Sus scrofa: one gene and its partners. The protein of the gene in region 2 binds, or shares a complex with, the protein of the main gene of each other region. Links are inferred from orthologs where the notes say so. Each region holds a gene or a part of one and is shown on either strand. Other genes may lie near its edges. The genes, in order: MYOM1, OBSL1, CUL7 and CCDC8.

Evidence for each region.
Region 1: the proteins of OBSL1 (region 2) and MYOM1 are in contact, whole or in part, in a crystal structure (PDB 5FM5), measured with the Homo sapiens proteins. The link is inferred for Sus scrofa from reciprocal best matches to the Homo sapiens genes OBSL1 and MYOM1. Residues at the interface, in NP_056126.1 of Homo sapiens: Pro243, Lys253, Phe255, Val257, Asn258, Gly260, Lys261, His262, Ala263, Lys264, Phe265, Arg266, Cys267, Tyr268, Val269, Met270, Gly271, Lys272, Pro273, Pro275, Trp279, Lys305, Tyr308, Tyr317, Cys319, Ala321, Arg322, Asn323, Ser324, Ala325; in NP_003794.3 of Homo sapiens: Arg616, Pro617, Ser618, Ala619, Pro620, Trp621, Thr622, Gly623, Gln624, Ile625, Ile626, Val627, Thr628, Glu629, Glu630, Glu631, Pro632.
Region 3: OBSL1 (region 2) and CUL7 share a complex: the UniProt entries of both Homo sapiens proteins name them as parts of the 3M complex. The link is inferred for Sus scrofa from reciprocal best matches to the Homo sapiens genes OBSL1 and CUL7.
Region 4: OBSL1 (region 2) and CCDC8 share a complex: the UniProt entries of both Homo sapiens proteins name them as parts of the 3M complex. The link is inferred for Sus scrofa from reciprocal best matches to the Homo sapiens genes OBSL1 and CCDC8.

Annotation. Positions count from the first base shown.
Region 1 is NC_010448.4:103,450,001-103,454,171, reverse strand, and holds the start of MYOM1 (myomesin-1), read right to left. Parts: upstream 2,833-4,171; 5' UTR 2,652-2,832; intron 1-2,651. UniProt on the Homo sapiens protein: Major component of the vertebrate myofibrillar M band. Binds myosin, titin, and light meromyosin. This binding is dose dependent.
Region 2 is NC_010457.5:121,564,300-121,567,860, forward strand, and holds part of OBSL1 (obscurin-like protein 1), read right to left. Parts: intron 3,238-3,561; coding exon 2,962-3,237; coding exon of another isoform or gene 2,884-2,961; coding exon 2,596-2,883; intron 2,412-2,595; coding exon 2,136-2,411; intron 1,536-2,135; coding exon 1,266-1,535; intron 1,113-1,265; coding exon 840-1,112; intron 1-839. UniProt on the Homo sapiens protein: Core component of the 3M complex, a complex required to regulate microtubule dynamics and genome integrity. It is unclear how the 3M complex regulates microtubules, it could act by controlling the level of a microtubule stabilizer.
Region 3 is NC_010449.5:38,098,714-38,102,274, reverse strand, and holds part of CUL7 (cullin-7), read left to right. Parts: intron 1-697; exon of another isoform or gene 698-799; intron 800-1,231; exon of another isoform or gene 1,232-1,278; coding exon 1,279-1,433; intron 1,434-1,569; coding exon 1,570-1,789; intron 1,790-1,900; coding exon 1,901-2,204; intron 2,205-2,899; coding exon 2,900-3,532; intron 3,533-3,561. UniProt on the Homo sapiens protein: Core component of the 3M and Cul7-RING(FBXW8) complexes, which mediate the ubiquitination and subsequent proteasomal degradation of target proteins. Core component of the 3M complex, a complex required to regulate microtubule dynamics and genome integrity.
Region 4 is NC_010448.4:52,473,136-52,477,330, reverse strand, and holds the start of CCDC8 (coiled-coil domain-containing protein 8), read right to left. Parts: upstream 2,824-4,195; 5' UTR 1,215-2,823; coding exon 1-1,214. UniProt on the Homo sapiens protein: Core component of the 3M complex, a complex required to regulate microtubule dynamics and genome integrity. It is unclear how the 3M complex regulates microtubules, it could act by controlling the level of a microtubule stabilizer.

The DNA of each region.
Region 1 (4,171 bases), on a different chromosome or scaffold from region 2:
AAAGAAAAGGAGTGAGAGATGAATCCAAGGATTTTGCCTAAGTGATTAGAGGACTAGAGTTGCTATTTTTTTTTCTTTTTGGCCACACCTGTGGCATGTAGAAGTTCCAAGGCCAGGGATCAAACCTGTGCCACAGCAGTGACCCGAGCCACAGCAGTGATAATGCTAGGTACTTAACCTGCTGAGCCATAAGGGAACTCCCTAGAGTTGCTATTAACTGAGATGAGCAAGAGTACAAGAAAACAGCAGTTCAGGATGGAAGAACAGGAGTCTGGTTTGAGACAGTCTACATTTGAGATATCTGCTGGATATCCTAGTGGAGACATGAAGTGGGAAGCTAGCTATTTGACTTTGGAATACTGGGCAAAGGTCCAGGATGGAGACCTACATTTGAAACTCACAGCATATACATAAATTTCAAAGCCACAAAGTAGATGAGAATGAAAGTCCTAGGACTGAACCCTAGGAGGCTGCTTATATTGGCATTTAATAAGCTCTCTCAAATCTTACAAACATTTCAAAAAGGTATAGTGTCAAATCATATGAATTCCATTAAGAAGATGAAGGTTTCTAGTCTTCCTACATAAAGAAGCCAGAAAATCAGTCATCAGGGTAGCAGTTTGCACTGTGAACTTGAGCTAAAAGTCCTACTGAAAGTCAAAGTTTTCTTAGCAGAGGGAGGGGAAACTTCATATTGCATTATCTTTCTTTGAATAATATGTCCACTGAGAGGAGCCTATCAGCCACACTGACAACCCCTGGATGATGAAATAGTTTTATGGAAGTCTTTTCTTCCATTTTTAATGCTTTTGTGCATGCTCTAAAACACTGATTTTAAATTTTACAAGTAAAATTAGTTGTAATCACTTTTTCAAATCTTTAAAAAAAAAATTCTAGGGAGTTCCTGTTGTGATGCAGCAGAAATGAATCTGACTAGTAACTATGAGGTTGTGGGTTTGATTCCTGGCCTTGTTCAGTGGATTAAGGATCCAGCATTGCCGTGAGCTGTGGTGTAAGTCGCGGATGCGGCTCGGATCCTGCATTGCTGTGGCTGTGGCACAGGCCAGCAGCTCTAGCTCCAGTTCAAACCCTAGCATGGGAACTTCCACATGCCGTGGGTGCGGCCCTAAAATATATATATATATATATAAAGGAGGATTGAATTCTTCTAAACTTGCCACACTTTTTGTCAAGTTTAAATCTACTTTTTATTTAAACTAAAAGGTCAGCATGTATTCCCTAGAGAAGCAAATCCAGCAAACTTCACTCCAGAAATATTTATGTTAGGGCTCATGGAAGATATCAGTCTACATGGCATTTCCCAAGAGGAAAAAAATAGCTACTAGCAAGCAACATTGCTTCAACCCTTAAATAGCAAACGCTTTGCTATTTTCTGTTCTAAAATGTACAGAACAATTCTCAGATATAAGGAATAATCACTAGATAAATTTTGATAAAACAAGAGTTGAATATACAAATATAGTCGTCTATGATACTAAGCAATTATAAAGCTATTAGATGTTTCTATAGTGATACATACTACCCTGCAACATGGCAAATGCTATTTGAATGATATCCAAATAAATATTGCATGACCTTTCTATGTATTATTATAAGCTAAATTCAGAACCCAAAATAACTTGAAATGCTATTATTTTCACAAAATAAAATATTTAACTGTCTTGCCTCAACTCTGTTTTCCATTCTCTTTATTTCTGTTTTCCCCGAACATATTGAATAATACTTAATTTTCTAGGCACGTAGATGATGTATTACAAGTAAACAGGCTTTGGCTTTACATCAACAGAGCTGGTTGTCACAGCTCTGACCTCTGGAACGAAGGTACAACTACCTTCTCTTCATCAAGTACATGAGGATTATCCCCGACACATGACAGCTAGAGTGTGTTGGGAGGAAAGGTGGTTTGGTTGTCTCCTATTTCTTTAAGACCTTTTTTCTTCCTGAAAATAATTTGGGAATTTGGGAAGAAATACTAACTCCATGGTTGGAATTGTGACATGAATGATATTTTGTACAGGCATTAGAGGCTGAAAGCTGATAAAAACTCTTCACAGTAAATATTAACTTTGGGACCATTTTGTGGGGAATTTATGTTGCCTGTGAAATACTGCTTAGCCGTTTTCATAGGAGAAATACCACAGTGCACTCTTACATTTATCCACATGGCATTGTTGGAGCAAATTAGAAACTAGTGACTTCAGAGTTCATTTACTCCTTTTGATCTAATTTGTAATCAAGGAGCATTGTAGGCGTATGGAGGATAGAAAACACATGATTTCCTGTTACCTCACTCATCCCAGATTTCAACCAAACCACTGAACTGTAATTTGGAAGAAGCACTTGACTCACACTTACAGTTCCATCTGAGACAGCTATTATCTCCTTATGGTTCCAGGAACAGCAGCTTAATTTTAGAAGAAGCCGCTGAGCTGAGAGAAGAGCTGTGCCAGCACAAACCGGCACCCTGCTGCTCGTTTTCCTTCCCAGGAGCCCCACTTTCCTATTTCCCTGCACTTCTGACATCTCTTTGACAAAACTGCTGAGCTCAGAAGATAGAAACCACACACACCGTGGTGCTGCTAAGCACATGAAATATCAAGTGCATTCTTCTGCCCCAAGGTCACACTTACCAGTTTGCAGAGGAGTGGCAGTGGTGGAAATATTCCGACGTGACCGTGGAGCTGGATGAGAGAATGAATAACCCACGGAGGCTGAATCCAAGAAAAAGTTAAGAGCAGGGCTAAAGACAGGACCCTGGGGGCCAGTTCAAAAATAATGCATGTGGTCAGGCAGTAGAATGTCAGAGCCACACAGCCAGCCTTTTATGGCCAAGAAGGCAGATAAATATAGCAGCAAATGGGAAGGGTAGTCCTAAACTGAGAGGCAGAGGGAGGCACTGGCAGGTAGCTGCCTGGGTAATGTAATTACATTAATGCCAGTCAATGGGTCTGGCTTGATTAAACCAAATGTGAGATATTTATTTGGGTATAAGGGCTATTTTCAATATCATTTTATTACTGGTTATCTGAAAGTGTAATGGAAAGAGTGGTTTGTGTTGAGAGCTAAAAATAGATGTAGTAATCTGATTCCCAAAATGGACTTCATGGAATGTAAATGCCAAGATAATCGTTCTGGATGTGCTGTTCATAATGCATGTACATTTAAAAGACACAAGGTGAAAAAAGAACATGAGGCTAACTAGAGGCAAACAAGTAAGAAATGGGTTACAGGCGGTAGAAATTTTGGATCGAAGATTCGGGGGTCACCAGTTCTCTCATTTCAGGAAAATTTTACAAAGTAGGTCATAGCTTCAAGTTTGAGTATTTGATTCCCCAGTCATTAAAGCCTTTAGGAAGCAACATGTTTTATCTTTCCTAAAGCCAGAGTAGGGTCAGTCTATCTAACATCACTTCTCTTTCTTTGTTTTTTCCAACTATTTCACAAATTCAGAGGTGGTAAAACCTGGTGGTTAGAGCTTGCACTTCAGACTCAGACCAGACCTCAATTCCAGACCGTTGATGGCACTTAATAGCCATGTAACTTTAAGCAATTTATTTTTCTTTAAGCTTCATTTTCCTTCTCTATAAAATGGGGATAATAACGTCCAAATTATGGGACTGCTGTGGAAATCAACGTGATAACACAGAGAAAGCACTCACCTATCGACTGCCACATAATGAAGACCCAGTAAATGTCAACTGTTGTTCTGATAGTAGTAATTTAAAAGTTCAGATTATAGGTACTGAGCAGGTTATGTTCTGATACTAGAGCACCTAAATACAGATCACCTGTATTTATCCAAATACTGAACAGACCCACTATTAGGACCTACTTTCTAATCCCTTTCTTGATGACAATGACAGTTAACACTGTTGAGGACCTATCAAGTGCCAGACACTATGGTAGGCACTTTGTGTGATCCCATTTAATGGTCATAATGCCCTGTAAGGCAAGTAGCATTAGCTTCAGGCTACAGTTGAGGAAACTGAGGCTTCGAGAGGTAAAGTCATTTACCAAAGAGCACACAGCTAGTAAACGACATAAATGCAGTTCATTCAGAGATATGTGGATTCCAAAGCCCATGCTCTTTTTGTCATGTGTTGCCTTATCCTCCCTCCGATGATATTTTGTCTGTAAGAAACTAGATGCT
Region 2 (3,561 bases):
CGGTTGACTTGTGAGGAAAAGGGGCTTAAGAGAGTTAAGAGAGGGGACACAGGAAGGGGGTGATGTGTGGTTTGGGGGGGTGAGAGGTTTGGGGGGGTCTGTGATACTGGAAGGAGAACAGAATTGGAGGCAGACACATCAGGACTGGACCCTAGCTCTGCCACATGTTTGTGTGCTATGTGATCTTTGGCAAACTGCTTGGCCTCTCTGGGCCTTAGTTTCTCCAGCTGCACAATGTTAATAGCATTGAGATATGGGGTTTATTGTGATTAAATGAGTGAAATACATTCAGAGAATACAAGTCACCCCCAAAAACCATTTATGAAGCTCTGGGTGAGTGTTTCTCATATTATCACAGTTAATGTTCCCAAAGCCTCTTGAAGTAAGGATCAGCATGGTTTTCAAGACCTGTCTCAGAGAGGGTAAGTAATTTGCCTGAGGTCACACAGTTAATAGAGTGTGCTCTGTCTTGGGGGTAGGGGTGCCCTTTGCCAACCATCCCTGCTTCCCAGTTGGGCCCGTGCGTCCTCGGGCAGACAACTGAGGGATAAACACGGCAAGTCTTTCTGGAGTATAATATTTATGTTTATAGCAAAGCCAACTTGGACATATGAAATGGAATGCAAAATTCACATGCACTTCTAAAGCAAACAGAAAACATTAGAAAAAGAAAAGTTTTGCTTTGGGCACGATGCTTCAGGTCACACTCCTGGGGGTCAGCCAGGGCTAACTTGCCTTGCAGTGAGGGGCACTTGGGTGGGGGTCTGAGGGGCTCTGGGCCAGCCAGGAGAGGCTGTGCCATGGGGCAGGTGTGTGTTAGGAGAGGACGGGGCACTCACGCCTGACGCTGAGCCTGGCCAGGGTGCGATCGTGGTGGCTCTCGCAGCCATAGGTGCCCTGGTCAGCTGGTACAACGCCGTGGATGAGGAGGCGGTGGACATGGCCATCCTGCGTTGTGGCCAGGCGGGAGTCGGGGGGGAGGGGCACCCCCCCTCGCACCCAGCGCACGGCCCCTGCTGCACCCACTCGGCCAGTCTCCACTTGGAGGCACACGTCCTGGCCTTCCTCCGCCCGCACATCCTGCAGGCGCCGCAGGAACAGCAGCTCCGTTTCTGGGGAGGAAGGAAGAGGGGGCCATAGAACTTAGGGGAGCCTGGAAGCTGACCCCCTCCCTGCTCCCTCTTAGGGATCTGTCCCCCTGCTAGGGCTGGGGCTGGGAGAATAGGTTCAGAAACAAGACGATTTTGTCTCCATCAGGACCAAACCTCGAACATGGAGCCGGGCACTTGTGGCTGTGCCCCCTGCTCGGGCAGTCACGGTCCCTGCGTCCTCAAGCTGGCAGCCTCGCAGGGTCAAGGTGCGGCTTGACCCATTCTGGGCCATCTCTAGCTGGGGCCCTGGGGTGACAACAGCCCCATTGCGCAGCCAGGTGACATCGGCATCTGGTGGGGAGACTTCACACCGGAATGTGGCATCATCACCCTCGTGGACAGTTAGGGGTGTCAGCTCTGAGACCAGCTTCACTGGCGGTGGTTCTGAGGGGGCAGGGCCAGATGGTGAGGCGGGCTGGGTCTTCCCCCCTCCCTCCTTCTCATCCCCACCTCCGGATACAGGCCTGCATCCTCCAATTATTAAACAAAACTTTCCTGAGGACCTGCTGTGTGTCAGCCATGAGATGTCCCAAAAGACAAGATGTCAACTCCCTGCCACTCCTAGCCAGCTCCTTTCAATGCTGGCCTGGCACCCACCTCTCTGACCCCCTAATAATAATGGATGGTTTACCATGGTCCCAATTTATCTCATTTAACTGTCACGACAGCCCTATAGGACAAGCACTCTCTCCCCACTTTGGAGCTGGGGCTCAGACAGGTTAAGCAACTCGCCAGTGTCACACAGCTACTGGGAAGCAGAATCCAGATTGGAACCTGGGAGCTCTGACTCCAGAGCCCTGCTTTGAACCACTGGGCTGGGCTGCCTCCTATTTGCAGGTACCTGGGAAAGGGAGCCCTGAGCTCTCACCCAAAGCTATGCATGCATGTGGAGCCAGAGGTAGAGAGGTGGGGTAGGGGGTGAGGGGACCCAGAAGGGTACAGGCTTGCGGTCCTTTGGGGGCCAGGGCCCAAAGGGTGTGTTACCTTCCACACTGACGAGGAAGATGCGGCTGTCCTGGGGCGTGTCGCACAGGTACTCCCCAGCGTCCCTGCTCCGTGCCCCCCGCACCCGCAGCACCTGCCTGGCCCCGTCCTGTTCCAGCTGCACCCGCCCCTGGCTCGCCAGGCGCTCCCCGTCCTTGTACCAGCGCACAGGGCCCCCCGGCCCGGAGAGGTGCACTGCCAGCTCTAGGTCCCCGCCTGGGGTGCTGCGAACCCTGGTCTGGGCCGCCTCGGGGGCCACCACCCGCACAGGGGGCTCTGTGGGGTCAGAGCTGGGGGTCACAGTGAGGAAGCGATTCAAGGGCTGGGGGCGGGCAGTGGGAAGCAAAATGGGGAAAGGGACTGAGAGTAGTGGGGCAAGGAGGGCAAGGTGCGCTGGAGAAGGGGAGACTCATGGGTTTGGGGGTGCAATTCTCAGGTTTCCTGCCCAGGCTATACTCACCAGCCACTTGGACAGTGAAGCTGAGGCTGGGAGCCCCCGGGGCTGCCCCGGACTGGCAGGTGTAGAGGCCCGCATGGGCCGGGTCTGCAGCCCGGATGCAGAGGATGCGGCGGGGGCCCTCAGCATGGAGCTCCAGGCCCTCGCCCTCCTGAACTGGCCTCCCGTTGTGGCTCCAAAAGACAAGGGCGCCAGCCCTGGACAGTTCACAGCTCAGCACCACCGGATCCCCGGGGGCCACACAGAGCGGGCTGGGGGCTGCCTCTGGGGCAAGGAACTGGACAGGGGGCTCTGGACAGAGAGAGGCGGTGGTGTTGACTCGGTAACGCCCCGCCTCCCCCCTCCCCTGGGCTGGCCAGGAGCGCCCACCAGCCAGGCTGACATTGAAGGTGACAGCTTCATCATGAGTCTCACACACATACTCCCCGGCGTCCTCAGGCTCGGCATGGGGCAGGGTCAGGGTGCGAATGGGCCCCTCAGCACCCAGCTGCAGGACGTCTGATGCTTCCACCTCCAGCCCATCCTTGTACCAGCGCACCTGGGATCCAGCTGGGGCCACCTCGCAGCGAAGCTCCACACGCCCTGGAGCCCCGAACTGCAGGTCCAGGGCGCGAGCTGCTGGATGCACAATCCTCTCTGGGGGGGCTGGGGGGTGGACCGAGACGGGTGAGTGGGCTCCACCTGCCTCACCACTAGGTTCTCAGCCCTCTCCCTTTGCAGTGCAGCTCTTGGGAACAGAAGGACCTTCAATCCATGGGCACTTAACTGTGGGCCGGGCCTTGTGCTAAGCACACTGCAGCCCTTTTCTCAGCTACCCCTGACACTCCCTCTCACTGGCACTTATTTATTTATTTATTCGTTCATTTATTCATTTATTGCTGGCCTTTAGGGCCGCACCTATGGCATACAGAAGTTCCCAGGCTAGGGGGTGAATCAGATCTACACCACAGCCACAGCAACGCCAGATCC
Region 3 (3,561 bases), on a different chromosome or scaffold from region 2:
TTTTTACTCTGCTTCGTAGATAATGTATTTTTTAACTTTTTTTTTTTTTTTTTTTTTTTTTTTTGCTTTTTAGGGTCACACCTGTCACATATGGAAGTCCCGGGCCAGAGGTTGAGCCTCTTGGGATTTGAGCCCTGTCTGCGATCTACACCACAGCTCATGCCGGATCTATAACCCACTGAGCGCGGCCAGGGATTGAACCTGCATCCTCATGGATACTAGTCAGGTTGTTTCCGCTGAGCCACAACAGGAACTCCTTAACCTATTGAAGGTTTGTGGCAATCCTGCATTGTTAGGTGATGGTCAGCACTTTTTTTAGCAATAATGTATTTTTTTTTTTCTTTTTGCCATTTCTAGAGCCGCTCCTGCGGTCTATGGAGGTTCCCAGGCTAGGGGTCTAATCAGTAGCTGCCAGCCTACACCAGAGCCACAGCAACTCGGGATCCGAGCCGAGCCGGGTTTGCGACCTACACCACAGCTCACGGCAACGCCGGATCCTTACCCCATTGAGCAAGGCCAGGGATCAAACCCGCAACCTCATGGTTCCTAGTCAGATTCATTAACCACTGAGCCACAACGGGAATTCCAGCAATAATGTATTGTTTAGTTAAGGTATGTACATTGTTTTTTAGACATAATGCTATGTATACTTAATAGACTACCAGAAAATGTAAGCATACTTTTATATGCACTCAGAAACCAGAAAACATGTGTGACTTTATTGTGAGCCTGGAGCCAAACGAGCAAAATCTCCGAGGTGTGCTTCTGTCTCTTCATGCTCAGTTAAACTTTGGATGTGCTGAATGTGAGAAAACATTTTTCAGTATTGTTCTCATTGTCAATGCGCACAGCTGTTAATGATTTCAGTTTTAGAAAATCGTTGAGCAGGAATTCCCGTCGTGGCTCAGCCGAGAGTGAACCTGGACTAGCACCCATTAGGACGAAGGTTCGATCCCTGGCCTTGCTCAGTGGGTTAAGGATCTGGCGTTGCTGTGAGCTGAGGTGTAGGTGGCAGATGCAGTTCAGATCCCGAGTTGCCGTGGCTGTGGCTGTGGCGTAGGCTGGCAGCTTCAGCTCCGATTCGACTTCTAGCCTGGGAACCTCCACATGCTGAAGGTGCAGCCCTAAGAAGACAAAAAATTAAACAAAACAAAACAAAACCCTTGACCCATTGATGAAGCTGCTGGCCATGTGTAACTCCCTCCTCAGGCCCTCTGCTTCTCCCACTCACCTCCTCCGCTCTCTTCATAGTTTTCCTGTTCTCTTCCTGCTGCCCAGGTGAGTGAGCAGTTTGCCCGGCACATTGACCAGTGTATCCGTGGCAGCCGGAATGGTGGGCCCCAGGGGATGCTGGCCCAGCTACAGCAATGCCTGGAAAGCGTTCTGATCTTCTCTGGTTTGGAGATCGCCACCACTTTCGAGCATTACTACCAGTGAGTGTGGACCGAGATAGTGGGCAGTGGGGGGAGGCAGGATGACAGGCAGGGCCAGCTCTGGGGTCCCTGAGCCGGAGGCCGCCCCATGCCAAGCCCCTACACTGAGGCTCGGCCTGGGCTCTGCGCCCTGCAGGCACTACATGGTGGACCGTGTCTTTGCCGTGGGCTTCTCGAGCTGGCTGGAGGAGGTTGCACTGGATCAGATCGGCCCCTGCTTCCCCAACCGCCTCCCCCAGCAGATTTTTCGGAGCCTGAGCACCTCGGAGGAGCGGCAGCGCCAGTTCCACGTGTACCAGCTTCAGCGGCTTGATCAGCAACTCCTGAAGCTGGAGGGCACAGAGAGGAAGATCCAGGTGGGTGCAGGGGAGGGGAATTAGCAAGTGGGTGGGTGGGAGGCAGAGACAGAGGCACAAGCTGGACCCAAGGAGCCCACTGGCTTTGGGTGCCGTGTGTTCCACCCTCAGGTGGGCTGTGAAGCCAGTGGCAGGGGGCACACAAGAGGGAATGGAGAGGAAGCTGAGCTGGAGGTTGGGGTGGTGGCAGAGGCAGTAGCGGCGATAGCCGAAGAGGCCGAGAAGGAGGAGGATGACAACGAGGACGAGGACGACAACGAGGACCTCTACTATGAAGGGGCGATGCCGGAAATGTCTGTGCTCGTGCTGAACGGCTCACCCACTGGCTCCATCTGCCACCCGCTCAACCCCAGAACCTGCTTGCCCGCCTACCTGAGGGACACCTTGAACCGATACTCCAACTTCTACATCAAGAGTGAGCAGCGGGGCTGAGGGAACTGGGGGCTGGAAAGAGGATGGGATAAGAACCTGGGCTTGGGGGCAACCCCTGGGGCTGGCAGCCTTGATGGGGTGGGTTTGAGAAGAAGGGGCAGCAGCTTGGGTTTGAGGGGAGGGTGGGACTATGGGCACCTGATCCCAGGCTGTTGCCCTTTCTGTCCTTAAAATGAGACCCAGGACTCTCATGGGTGGTGGGGAGGATGGAGGCGAGAGGCACCTGAGGCCACCAGGAAGGGCTTTCCCTCCATGTAGGTGTCTGACTCCTGGTTAGTCACTGTAACCTACGTTTCCCACTAGAGGCTGATCCTGGGCTGGGCAGTGACAAAGGAGGGGGACACTTAGACCCTGCCCTCAAGGAGCTCCTACACTTGTAGGGGAGACATTGTTTCCAGTTTGATGAAAGCCCCAGTCCTTCCTCATTATGTTTTTTCCTCCCTTAAAACAGTGGGGAACTCCTTGGAGGCCCTGATCACAGCTCGCCTGGCACAGGGTGGGCTCCCAGATACTCAGGCCTCCTCGGAGGCAGACACACAGAAAGCTGAGCTGTGAAAGCTCGGGCCAGGAACCAGTGTCCACAAATGCTGGGCCCCAGGCTCTGCAGAGGGGACAAAACTCCACCTATAGCATGTCCTCCCCAGCCCTTGACCCCTCCTCCTCCCTGATGCTCCTCAGGTCACAGCTACCCTGCTCTAGAGCGGGGCCCACATCGGCGACTGCAGTGGACATGGCTGGGCCGGGCTGTGCTGCAGTTTGGGGACCAGACGCTGCAAGTGACCACCGTGCAGATGTGGCTGCTGCTGCATCTCAACGAGCTGCAGGTGGCCCAGCCCTCGCGCCTCCCTGCTCTCTCGCCTGGCCCTCCCCTTTCTTCCCTTCCCCCTCCTTGTTCCACCCCCTGGGGAAGCCCTCATGCTTCCCTCCTCTTTTTTTTCTTTTCAGGGCCACACCTGCAGCATATGAAAGTTCTCAGGCTAGGGGTTGAATCGGAGCTGCAGCTGCTGGCCTACACCACAGCCACAGCGGCGCCGAGCTGGATCTGCAACCTACACCACAGCTCTTGGCAATGCCGGATCCCAGACCCACTAAGCAAGGCCAGGGATCAAACCCACATCCTCATGGATACTAGTTGGATTTGTTTCCGCTGCACCACAATGGGAACCTTCCCTCCTCTTTCTAAGGCCGTCTCCGTGGAGCGTCTGCTGGCGCTGTCCGGGCTCTCTCCAGATGTGCTGAATTGGGCAATTAGACCTCTTGCCTCTTCAAGGGGCCCCCTGGAACTTCATGAGCCAAAGGACGCCCCAGGAGGTCTGTACTTAGGGCACTGGGGCCTCTGC
Region 4 (4,195 bases), on a different chromosome or scaffold from region 2:
CGGGTCCTGGCTCCTGGGGTTGCCCCTGTGGCTCTCCAAGCAGCTGAGGATTCAGCTTCCTGGACAGCCAGGGCCTCTGCCCTCTGACTACATGCAGCTTCTGCCCTCTGGTCAGGAATGGCCTCTGCCCTCTGGACAGCTGGCGCCTCTGCCCCCTGGACAGCTAGGGCCTCTGCCCTCTGATTATCTGCAGCCTCTACTCTCTGGACAGTTGGGTCCTCTGCCCCCTGAGCAGCAGGGGCCTCAGCCCTCTGATTATCCACAGCTTCTGCCCCCTGGAGAGCTATGGCCTCTGCCCCCGGGACCACTACTACCTCTGCCCTCTGATCATCTGCAGCCTCTGTTCTCTGAGCTCTAGTTGGGGCTTCCTCCCTCCTGCGACGACGGAAGGAGGCCCAATTGATTTTGGGTCTCCACCGACTTGGGGGATTCTCAGGCACCCGCCCATCTCCTGCATTTCCCCTGTCCTCCCCGAGGCTTGAGCTGCCTGGCACCGATGCGCCATCCCTCTCCACCCTGGTAGAGGCCTGCCGGGCCTCACCCACCCCTGGGCTGGACCTCGGTGCCCAGCCCTTCACCCTCCGCTTCAGCTTCCCCCAGGACACCTGGCTGACATATTCCCGCCATCTATCAGCCTTGGACAGCTGGGGTCCCGGATTGTCCTCAAACATGGGCACTGGCAGGGTCACACGGCGGCGGGCCGGCGGGGCACTGGGCTTCTTCTCTCCTCGCCGCAGGAAGGCCTCAACCAGTTCCTCGTCATCCTCGCTCTCCAGGTCGCTCCCAAGGAATTTGCTGCCCAGGTAACTGACAGGCATTTTGCGCAGCCTCCTTCCACGCCCCGTGCCTTTGTGGTCCTTGTCATCCTTGTCTCTGGAGGTTTCAAAGTCGCTGAACTCGCTGTCACTGGCATTGCTGCTGTCATAAGTACCCACGACCAGCCGAGGAGGTGGCGTCACCATCTGCGGGACTCTCCTCCTCGATCCGGGCTCCTTGGGCTTTTTAGGGGGCTGGGGCGGGTGGGGGGTGCTCTTCTCGATGATGCGGGCCACATCCTCCAGGGTGCGGCCTTCTTCCTCCAGAAACTGGATCAGCCGCTCCCGAAATTCCGCCTCCTTGGTGGCGGGCTTGGAGATAACCCTCCAGACGCCTCCCGCCAGCCTGACCTCGCGGGGGATGAGCAAATAGTCTACGTCCTCGCCGATCTGCAGCATCCCCACCGTGGAGTCCTCCTCGCGGCGGAACACCTTGCCGATCTTCTTGAATGTCCCCACCGGCTTCAAGGCTTCCACGAGGACGTCCAAATCCACATCTTTGCAGATGTCGGGGACGCTCCAGAGGATCAGGCAATCAGGGGAAGGGAGGAAGCCCCAGGGGAACCAGCCCCCCACGTGGCTTTTCTCGAGGGTCTTTAAGATCTCCAGGGTGAAATCTAAAGTGCGGGCAAGGAGCCCAAACTACTCGCAGCGCCGAGTCTTGGGGTGGGGATGCGGTCCCAAGAGCGCGGCCGGGAATCTCACCTCCCAGTTTCTCTGCCCGCAACAAGTCGGGTCGTGATCCAGTTCGCTCCCCTCAAGGACTGGTGGGAATCGATTCAGGGTGCTTACGTGAGTCGGAGTCTCAAGGTTCCAAGCCCGCCGCAAGCTGTAAATGGGTGTCCCGGCTCCAACTCAGTGTAAGGACTGCTGGTGGCTCTTCCTGTGCCAGGCACAGGGGACGTCCCTGGAACTTGGGAAAGGACTTTGCAGACAAAGACGGCTCAGCTGTGGCTGTTCAATATGGCCGAGGCTCTTGGAGGCCGCAGCCAGCTCCCCAGGAGGGTCTCCCGCCCCTAGGCAGGCTGCCACCTCGGTCCAGGCTGACCTTGACGCGCCTCCGCCCCCAGCCTGCGCGCCCAGGGCCGGCGAGTGCGCGCGCGGGCAGGAAGTTCCTCCTCGCCTTCCCCCTGGATGAGGCCCACCTTCTCCCTGCTCGGCTTACACTCCCGGACTCGGGGAAGACTGACAGGGGGGCTGTCCACTCCCCTTGGGGCGCCCTCGCCGCCCTCCCCCCCAGGGGTGTGGCTGCGCCCCGGGCCTCTCAGGGGCCCCGGCTTCCAAGCCAAAGGCCTGCGGTGCCGACGCCCACGTCAGCAGCTTTCTCTGAGAAAGGCAGCAGTTCCCGAAACTACCGTCCCAAAAGTGCGGGTTCCAGCCCAGCCCTGAAGGTGGGCGCGCTCATCATCGGGCAATCCCTTGGAAAGCCACTGACAGTATAGTACCATCTTAAAATTAAGTGACTTTGGGTACCGGCAGTTCCTAGCCATATACCCAGACATGTGGGTGAAGAACCTGGTATCAAGGTCTTATTGCAGCTCATCATGGGGCTTGGCACAGAGTAGGTGCTCAAGAAATATTTTTGAGTGAATGAATGCACCTAATTGTTCACCGGTAGGGACTAACGGTGAAATACTAGGCCGTTATGAAAAAGAGAAGTGACTGAGAATAAACACATTTTAGGGAGCACTTCCTACGTACGAAGGACCATGCTAAGTGCTTTTTATAAATTAACTCATAAAATTCACACAAAAACATCAGGATACAGATAATACGATGCTCATTCCCATTGTACAGCTGAGGAAATAAAATCAATCTCTTGCTCAAGGTCACATGGCCAGGAAGAAGACTGAACCTGGATTTGATTCTGAAACAGTCTAATGTGTGTGTAGACCAAAGGGCCTAGGTGTATACATACATTTGTCATGTGTAGAAGCACTGCCAACAGTGGCTATATCTGGGGACCCCGGAGGTGGCTTTTCACTTTTCACATGACTTTTCACTCTATCATTTTGGAGTGCTTCAATTTTTAACAATCAAAAATGTTAACTGAAATAAGTTAAATTAAATTGAAGGACCTCAGATACCTCAAAAATGTTAATTGAAATAAGTTAAATTAAAGGGTCAGGATTCGCAAAGCTTCTTGGGTAACTGTGAGGCAACCACATGCACAGCAACAACTGCCTTAGTAATAATAACGGTTAACCTGCATGGATGCTTTCTTTGAAACCAGGCATCCTGAGTGGGCCTGTTATGAATCTGCAGAGCTACACCGAAAGGTGAATGCCTTCACTATCATCTCCTTACAGCTGGGGACACTGAGGCTGGTCCCCGATTGCACAGTTCGAAGTGGAGAGCCAGATATTTGAACCAGATCCCAGACGTTAGAACTAACTCCAGGCTCTGAAGATACAGCTGATCTGCGTCCTCCTGAGAGTGCTAGGCTGTTTGACCCCTTAAAAGCCATCGCATGTCCAGCTGCCCTCAATGCTTGCCTGGATCCATACAAATCCCTCCTCGTGGGGCTCCCTGCTTCCTTCTCACTGCCTATAATCAATCCACCCCCAACCTAGCAACTTAAGCCAGATCTGTCTCTCCTCTAATTTTTTTTTTTTTTTTTTTTTTTTTTTTGTCTTTTTGCTATTTCTTGTGCCGCTCCTGCGGCATATGGAAGTTCCCCGGCTAGGGGTCGAATCGGAGCTGTAGCTGCCAGCCTACGCCAGAGCCACAGCAACTCGGGATCCGAGCCGCGTCTGCAACCTACACCACAGCTCACGGCAACGCCGGAACCCCGACCCACTGAGCAAGGGCAGGGATCGAACCCGCAACCTCATGGTTCCTAGCCGGATTCGTTAACCACTGCGCCACGACGGGAACTCCTCTCCTCTAATTTTAAAGTCCTCGCCATCACCCACAAAGTCCCACTTCCCGCTCTCTTTCTCTCTTCCTCACTCCACTCCAGCCACACCTGCCTCCTCATTGGTCATCCAATAAATCGGGCTTACCTCCACCTTCAGGTCCTTTGCATCACTGGTCCCAACACCCAGAAAGTTCTGCCCCTACCTTCTCTTGGCAATCTCCCTCTGCTCAAATGTCATCTTTTTTTGTTGTTGGCCGTGCAGAAGGTCTCAGGCTAGGGATCTAGCCCATGCCACAGCAGTGACAATACTGGATCCTTAAGCACTAGGCGCTAGGGTGTTGCAAAAGGTTATCACTTCAGAGGTCATACTGCACCCTCCCCAAATTACTGAGCAGTCTCTACCCTCTTGAGGACCCTTTAGCTTAGGAATTCTTAACCTTTTCCATGTCAAGGACCCTTTTCAGGATAGTTTTGCAATGCATGGTATTGTATTATTGGATTACAAAGGAGACCAATTTTA